2 linked regions of the Coturnix japonica genome follow. The protein of the gene in region 2 purifies or fractionates together with the protein of the main gene of each other region. This does not show direct contact. Links are inferred from orthologs where the notes say so. Each region holds a gene or a part of one and is shown on either strand. Other genes may lie near its edges.

Region 1 (4,356 bases), on a different chromosome or scaffold from region 2:
ACACATCATCACTGCGATGTGTTCTGCAGCAAACCAGAAACAGCAACAAAACGCCGCTTTCACATAAAGGAAATGAGAATAAACATGAAAGTGTGACTCTGTGTTGGAAAACAAACTCTATGCTTCAACACAGAGAGGCACTTCCCAGCGCTGACACTGAACCAGGGCGGGGGATCTCAATTCCTCTTTCCTGTCCTTAAAAGGAAAGGAAGTGCTGCTATCGCTCTGTGATAGTGCTGGGTTCTACAGCCCTGAGCCAAGAGCTGATGGCTGTGAGCACAAGCTGGGCACTGGCAGAGGGACAGCCCCGAGCACTGCTCCAAACACTGCCCCTGTGAGCTCTGTGCTGGGAACGGTGCTCACCTTACAGATGTGGCACTGGGGGATATGGTTAGAGGACATCAGGATGGGTTGAGGTGTGACTGGATGATCTTAGAGGTCTATTCCAGCCTTAACATTCCATGAGGGGGCACGGTGGGGTTGGGGTTGGACTGGATGATCTTAGAGTTCTATTCCAGCCTTAATGTTCCTTGAGTAGGCATGGTGGGGATGGGCTGGGGTTGGACGAGATGATCTTAGAGGTCTATTCCAGCCTTAACATTCCATGAGGGGACATGGTGGGGATGGGATTGGACTGGATGATCTTAGAGGTCTTTTCCAGCCTTAATATTCCATGAGCGGACATGGTGGGGATGGGCTGGGGTTGGACTGGATGATCTTAGAGGTCTTTTCCAGCCTTAATGCTCCATGAGTGGGCATGGTGGGGATGGGTTGAGGTGTGACAAGATGATCTTAGAGGTCTATTCCAGCCTTAATGCTCCATGAGTGGGCATGGTGGGGATGGGTTGGACTGGACGATCTTAGAGGACTCCTCCAATCTTAATGACTCTGATTTGCTCAGCAGCACCCAACGCTTCCTACCCCACCCATCAGCCACCATTCATCTCAACAGCTGTACTGGGAAACCACAATGAGAAGGCACAGCAGCACTGAGTGAATGCCATGTGTGCTCTGTGCTTGGCTCTGGATCCTGCAAACCTCATCATGAAAGAGAAGAGGAAAAGAGGATCCTTCCCAAGCACGGCTCAACCCATTCAAAGGAGACACGACGTGAGACACGATGCCACACCCAGGAGGCAAATAGAACAGATCTGCACATCTGTAGTGCAAAAAACAGCTCCTGCAATACATCCTGCATGGCATTTATTGCCTGACATGCAAGATCTCTGAGATGGGGATTGAAAAGCCCTTGGTGCGATGCAGGTGGGTGCTGCTGTGGCTGCGATGTGCCACACGGAGGCACAAACAGTGTGAATGGTGTGAGCTCAATGCACAGCTCGGTTACAGCCCCAACACCCCGATGTGAAGGTGTGAGCTCAGTGCACAGCTCGGTTATAGCCCCAACACCCGATGTGAAGGTGTGAGCTCAGTGCACAGCTTCTCGCGTTATCAAGCCCATTGCACCCCGATGTGAAGGTGTGAGCCAGTGCTCACAGGCTCGAGTTATAGCCCCAACACCCCGATGTTGAAGGTGTGAGCTACAAATGCACAGCTCGTTTTATTAGCTCCCAACACCCTGATGTGAAGGTGTGAGCTCTATGTGCACTAGCTCGTTACAGCCCAGAGCCCCGATGTGGAAGTTGAGCTCAGTGCACAAGCATCTTATAGTCCCCAACACCCCGATGTGAAGGTGTGAGCTCAATGCACAGCTCGGTTATAGCCCCAACACCCATGTGAAGGTGTGAGCTCAATGTACAGCTCCTTTACACCCCACACCCGGTGTTGAAGGGTGTGAGCTCAATAACAGCTCGGTTACACCCCAACACCGCCGATGTGAAGTGTGTGTGAGTCAATCGCCAAGCTCGGTTTAATCCCCAGCACCCCGATGTGAAGGTGTGAGCTCAGTGCACAGCTCGGTTAATGCCCCAACACCCCGATGTGAAGGTGTGAGCTCAGTGCACAGCTCGGTTAATGCCCCAACACCTACAATGTGAAGGTGTGAAGCTCAGTGCACAGCCTCCGTTATAGCTTCCCAACACACCCCGATTGGTGAAGCGTCTGTGAGCTCAGTGCACGCTCGTCTTAATCAGCCCCAAACCCCGTGTGAAGTGTGAAGCTCTCAATGCACAGCTTCGGTTACAGCCCCAACACCCCGATGTGAAGGTGTGAGCTCAATATACAGCTCGGTTACAGCCCCAACACCCCGATGTGAAGGTGTGAGCTCAATATACAGCTCGGTATAGCCCCAACACCCCGATATTGAATGGTGTGATCTTCATATGCACAGCTCGTTATAGCCCAACACCCCGATGTGAAGGTGTGAGCTCAATGCACAGCTCGGTTAATGCCCCAACACCCCGATGTGAATATGGTGATGAAGCTCAGTGCACAGTTCGCGTTATAGCCCCAACTACACCGATGTGATGTTAGTCAAATTCATTTACAGCCTCGGTTAATGCCCCAACACCCCGATTGAAGGTGTGAGTTCCTCAATACGCTCGTTATAGCCTCCAACACCCGATGTGAAGGTGGCAGCTCAATGACAGCTCATTTAAAGCCCCCATTCTCCCCCGCCCCCATCCAGGCCCGGTCCCGGCCGCAGCCCCAACACACGCTCACACACATAGGAGTGAATGGACGCCAAACGGCCCGCCCACACGCCGATTGACAGCCGTCTCGTGCAATCGCACCACGCGATATTATCTATCAGCCAATCAGCGCGCGCGAGGGGCGGAGCGGAGCCGACTTCCCGGCCGCTGCCCACCTCAATGCTCCCCGCCGTCCCCCCCCGCCCCGCGCTCACCCGCGCTTGGAGCCGCGCTCCGCTTCGTTCTCGCAGTCGCTGCAGTGCTCGTGCTCGTTCTCCTCCGCTGACGGCCGGTGAGGCTTCGCCGGCGGCCGCCTCGCTGCTGTCTCACTGTCGTCCGCCATCTTGAAACGGGGCCTCGGCGGCTGCCGCACCCCCACAACAAAGCGCGCTGTGACTGGGCGCCGCGCCGCGGGGCATGCCGGGAGCGGTAGTCCGAGCGGGAGGGAGGGGGCCGGGCCGGGCGTGGGCGGGAACTACAATTCCCATCAGCCTTTGCCGCACCCCAGGCTCATTCTACCCGAGGGGTGGGACAGATTCCAAAGCGGGCTGTGCTGATTGGCTGAGAGGAGTACCCTCAGTTCCTATCAGCCAATCCGCGTGTGCTATACTGCGTGGTGCGCGAAGCCGGCAGCGGGTGAGTGCGTGAGGGGGCGACGCTTCGGGCCTGGCTGAGCGCGGCTGAGGGGCCGCGGGTCGCGTTGGGCTGAGGATCCACACGTTAAAATCGTGGTTTATTTGTGATTATTTTCCCTTTGAACTTCACTTTCGATCATCGCCGGAGCTGGGCTCGGACTGAAGCTGGTGCACTTTGCCCTTCAAACCCTCGGCTCCTTGGGGTGTGTTGTTCCATTAGGCCTCAATGTTGTGTGTGGTAAAATCACCCCGATTCCCCCCGTTCCTTCTGGGTTTTTCTTTCCTCTTGTTTCTTGGATCCGTCGCTTTGGTTCATTTGGCTCCTGCCCGTCTGCAGGGAGGGACGAGCGTCCCTGTGTGCAAATCAAACCCTCCATCATTAAACCACAGGGCTCGGGTGGTCTCTGTGGCCTTAAAAGTGCCGACAGACTCCATTGCAAACAGCCTTTAATGCTGCTTTACCCCTCGGTAACTCCAGCAGCTGACAGTGCACTGAGCTCTGTAACAAGGTTTGTTGGGGCTGCGTAACAGAGGGACAGGAATAGATCCATTGGGATCACGTAACACGGGACAGAAATAGGTTTGTTGGGACCAGGTCCCAGCTGGGGCCGCAGCTCGGGGCTACGGCGCTTAGAAACAGTGTATTTGCTTTACATGGGCAGGAGAGTTTTATGTTTCTAAGCACAGAAGTTTCCTCCATAGAAAGTTGTGCACTGATGGCCTGACCCCCTTCCTCTCCCCCTTGCTCTCCCCACACCAGCCCTGCCCACCTCACAGGGTGTAGAATACGTGGAACATCCAGGGCTGGATCCTAACCCAGTGTGAAGGTGGGGGCAGGGAATGCCCCATCGGGGTCAGGTGCTCACTTGGCAACAAAGCTCAGGATTTACATCAGCCTCTCAGAGATCACTGATGTTTGTTTGCTGCCCTCTCTGAATTCCCCCTTCTTGCTGGAGTTAACCCCATCTGTTTGCCAAAAGGAAGAGAAGAGCGCACGTGGTGCTGCTGTGGGCTCTGTGTGCTCTCAGCAGCCATGGAGTGAAGCTGCTGGCAGGTGCTGCTGGCTTTCCTCTCCCTGCTAACTCCCACTTCCTCCCTCTGCTGAACTGCCTTCAGCTGCTGCTGAGTGCATC
Region 2 (3,816 bases):
ATGTAAAGGAGACAATGACAGCAATGAAGAACCTCGTGGTGTTCTCACAGATCTTTCCTACAAATCCAATTTGAAATTGGAAGAGTGGAATAGCTGTTATCCTACCACCATCCCCTAATGGGTACAACTCCATCATTTGGAAGAACAGAGCTCCCTCTCGTGGCTCCTGAATGCGGACGTGGCAGGATGAAATAGTGGGAGATCAAAGGATGAGAAGACTCCTCGTGGGATTTCAGCTGTACAAAAATGGTGATAAAATGAAAATGCAATAGAGAGGACAGGTGAATTCTCTTGAAGAAAGGAGTGCTGCCTGTACTTGAATGCTGACTCTGAAATTGCATTCTTTGTTCTTCTAACTTCCTCTGTTAGGCCTTTTCACAGCTGAGCAGTTTTCTTCCATGGAAAGGTCTTAGATCTCTTAAAAGGTTTCTAGCTCCCTCAGGGTGAGGAGTAAGGGGAAAAGAATAAGGGCTACAGTGGTGAAGGCACAGACTGTATGAATAAGAAAACCACTGGTGTCAGAAAGCCAAGAAATACATGCTTGATTACAAGACCGAGAGGTTTATGTACTGAAGTGCCACAACAAGTGTTTGAAGAGTGAAAATGGCATTTCTTAAAACTGATCAGACAGCCTTAGCCCTGCTATTAGCAGAGAAGCTTCTGTTCAAGCTCTAGAACTGCTCTTTCCTCCTGTATCAACTATTTAAAACCACAGGAAGATGGAACCACACACCAGAGAGCAAATGCTGGTGCAGAAGCATTACCCTGTGTGGTGTCTGCTGAGTCTTGTGCACAGGGCTATGTGAAAGAAGAGCTCTCACAACCATCCCTTCCTCGCTTGAAGGGAAGAACATCACTGTAGCCAGCTCCTTGCTTGTAGGATGAGTTCTTAGGATTTGAAGAGCACCAGGTTATTCCAGCTCCATAGCAGAGAGCTTTGTAACCCAAACGGATAACTACAAAAAAGAGTAGCTTTCTGAAGCAAGGAGGGAAAAACATACTCAAAGCAGAACCTGTCACAGCACTTGTGATGAACACCAGCTCTACCCAGTTGTCTCTAAACAGCATTACCTCTTCTCTGCAAAAACAGGATCAGACCTGTGGAACACAGGCTGGCCAAGAAGCAGCAATCACTCTTATGAGTCCAGAACAGCACCAGAATGTAAGAGGGAATCAAGTCCTTGATTCATAGGCTGGTGCTCACACAGGATCCTGCTTCCAGAGTGCAGGATAAGAGGGGGAGAAAAAAAGAGAATCAATTTCCTACAGTGCAAAGAAATTACCATGCTGTCAGCATTTTGCTATTAGTGAAACATCTCCCTTCTAACTCCAGTTAAAAGCAGTATTTTTCTAAAGAGCAATCCTCTTAAAAATCATATAGAAATCAGTCTATAAACAGGGAGATATCCATAAATACTCAATCAAGTAATAAACCTAACAGACGAAAGGCAGACTAATTAAAATGACAGTACAATCTCCCTTTAACGAACACATACAGGACTCAAGAACACGCTTGTTATGTTGGAGTACCTCATCATAATCAGATTTGGTGATTTGCTGCATCAAAACAAAAAGGAAACATTTTCAGAATTGATCCTTCAGTTCACGTCACTCTTATGGAGATTGCTTTCTATTGATCAACATTTAAATAGTAGTTGAAAAGGGAAAGACGAGAAAAGGATAAGAAGTATCTTTACATGCTAAATACAGCATGAACCGATAAAAGCAAAATAAATTAGATGGCTATAGCCAAATCAACCCTGCACGTGTGCTCACTGGGATGAAGATAATTACAAATGAAAACGATGGTTCTTTTGTGCTTCGGCCTTAACAAAAGGGGAGCTTCAAAATGAAGTTAGAGCTTAATTTGCTCAGAATGAAGTCTCCCATACAGCAATTAAGTTCTGCATGAAGCTGAACTGTTGGCTTCAGAAGGTGCAGGTGCTGATTTGTTTTCTGAACAGTGTTTCCTACCTGTGGGTTCCAGCTGGGGTCCAGTTTTTTCACTGTAGCAACGTACTCCTGCATAGCTTGATGGGGAGTGGTGTCTCCCAGGGCTTTCCAAGCTTCCCTAGGGCAGAGAGCAATGTATCAGTGAGCTGCTCTGAGACAGCACAGCGTGTTTTTATGGTGTCATCAGTAAACAAAGCAAGAAGATCCATCCATATGGTTTCAAGGGGTGTAAAGCCACCTCCCACCCAGTCTGAAGTGGTCAGCTTCTCAATGAAGCTATGAATGGCTCTTGCAGGTGCAGCACTTTGCTATGAGAACACCTTTCAGGGGGTCTAGATGTAGGTTGGAATGTGGTTTGTGATCCAACCTATATGCAGCTATCTTGGCTGTTTTTACAATGCTCTCATGGTATGCAGGCCAATTCTGGGTGTAGAAGGTAAAGACAGGCTGGGCTTTCACATCTGCGTGAGGCAGAGTAAGCTGTTCAGGTTGAAAATTGACTTGATCCTGTCTGTCATTGCAGGCCTGCAATACCAGTAATTGGTAACTGCAATACCAGTAACTGCAATACCAGTTTCTGCCCTACTTGCAGAAAAAAAGCTATGCTTTTTGTGCAGACAATGCTATATGGAACAAAAGCACATTCAGTGGCAGCCTCTCAGATCTGATATCCTCACAGTGCGGTCTGTAACACAGCACAGAGTAGAACCAGGAGCCTCTAGGAGTTGCAAGGATTTCCTCTTACCATTTCTGCTTCCCCTCAAAATCGAAGAAGCTTGGCTTTGGAGTGTTACAGGTCCCAAATTTCACCTGAAAATGAAAATTCTTTCTGTTAGAATAAATCAAATAGAACTCATGAATGGTCTGTGAGGCATCCATCTGGATGCAAGGGAAGCACCAGCTGCCAATAAGCCAAGGCCTGAGACGATCAGTGTGATGGAAGGAGGCCACAGTGGCAGCACCAAGGCAGGGTTAGCAGATGGGTATTGCTGCAGCACAGAGTGTGATCCTGTACACAGCTTTTGTGGCTCAACTCTTGTTCAGAAACACCAAAACCAACGTGACACCCAAACTAACACAGATGGACAAGAAGTCTTTTATTTGGTGTGAAATGGACTTGGTGCCAGCAGGACTTCTGCAGACAGCTTTCCATAGGAAGACATCCTGATGTGATAAGTACAAAGCCGTTTCTTTCACTGTGGGGTGCAGCTCAATGATCTCTGAGGTCCCTTCCAGGTGAAGCCATTGTATGATGCTGTGGTCTGAAGGAGGGCAGGGGCTGCTGGCAGAACATTTTGTTAGCCAAGCAAAACCCAACTGCCTTCACCCCTCTTGTTTAGAAATGAAATATGCCCCAATGTTCAGGCAGGTGAAGTGCTTAAGTCAACCTCACCTTAGCAGGGTGGGGATATTTGCTGAGGAGAGAATCATGAATCATGCTTTAAAGAGAGCGTGCCCACACTGAGAGATATTTATTAGTTACACTATGTTTTCATTTAAAGCGTGAGAGACTGTGACTGAAATTAATTCTCCGTGCATCCGAGTGCCTGTGAGTAAGCAGTCCATCCAAATTAGGATCCCAGCTGGCCTGTAAAACAACGCAATGCGTTTCATGGAGGGACAAGGGAAAGGATGAGCAGCAGCTCAGCTCTGTGAATCAATCACCACTCATTTGTACTGTAAACGTTTTCTCCTGTGCTCAGATATGGTATGTACCATTTGTTTTATACAACATTGTGTGAGAGGAAAGTGCCTGCCTGGCAGTTCTTTGGTTCGACATGCAAGCAGGTCAGACAAAAGAAATCCCATCTTTTTTAATATGAATTGTTTCGATGATGATGGCAGCAAAACAAGAGAGCAGTT

Evidence for each region.
Region 1: the proteins of ACBD6 (region 2) and NMT1 purify together in Homo sapiens (co-immunoprecipitation; 3 studies listed by BioGRID and IntAct, with this or other methods). This does not show direct contact. The link is inferred for Coturnix japonica from reciprocal best matches to the Homo sapiens genes ACBD6 and NMT1.

What each region holds. Positions count from the first base shown.
Region 1 is NC_029542.1:815,380-819,735, reverse strand, and holds the start of NMT1 (glycylpeptide N-tetradecanoyltransferase 1), read right to left. Parts: upstream 2,985-4,356; 5' UTR 2,932-2,984; coding exon 2,804-2,931; intron 1-2,803.
Region 2 is NC_029523.1:5,796,468-5,800,283, forward strand, and holds part of ACBD6 (acyl-CoA-binding domain-containing protein 6), read right to left. Parts: intron 2,764-3,816; coding exon 2,699-2,763; intron 2,072-2,698; coding exon 1,975-2,071; intron 1-1,974. UniProt on the Homo sapiens protein: Binds long-chain acyl-coenzyme A molecules with a strong preference for unsaturated C18:1-CoA, lower affinity for unsaturated C20:4-CoA, and very weak affinity for saturated C16:0-CoA. Does not bind fatty acids. Plays a role in protein N-myristoylation.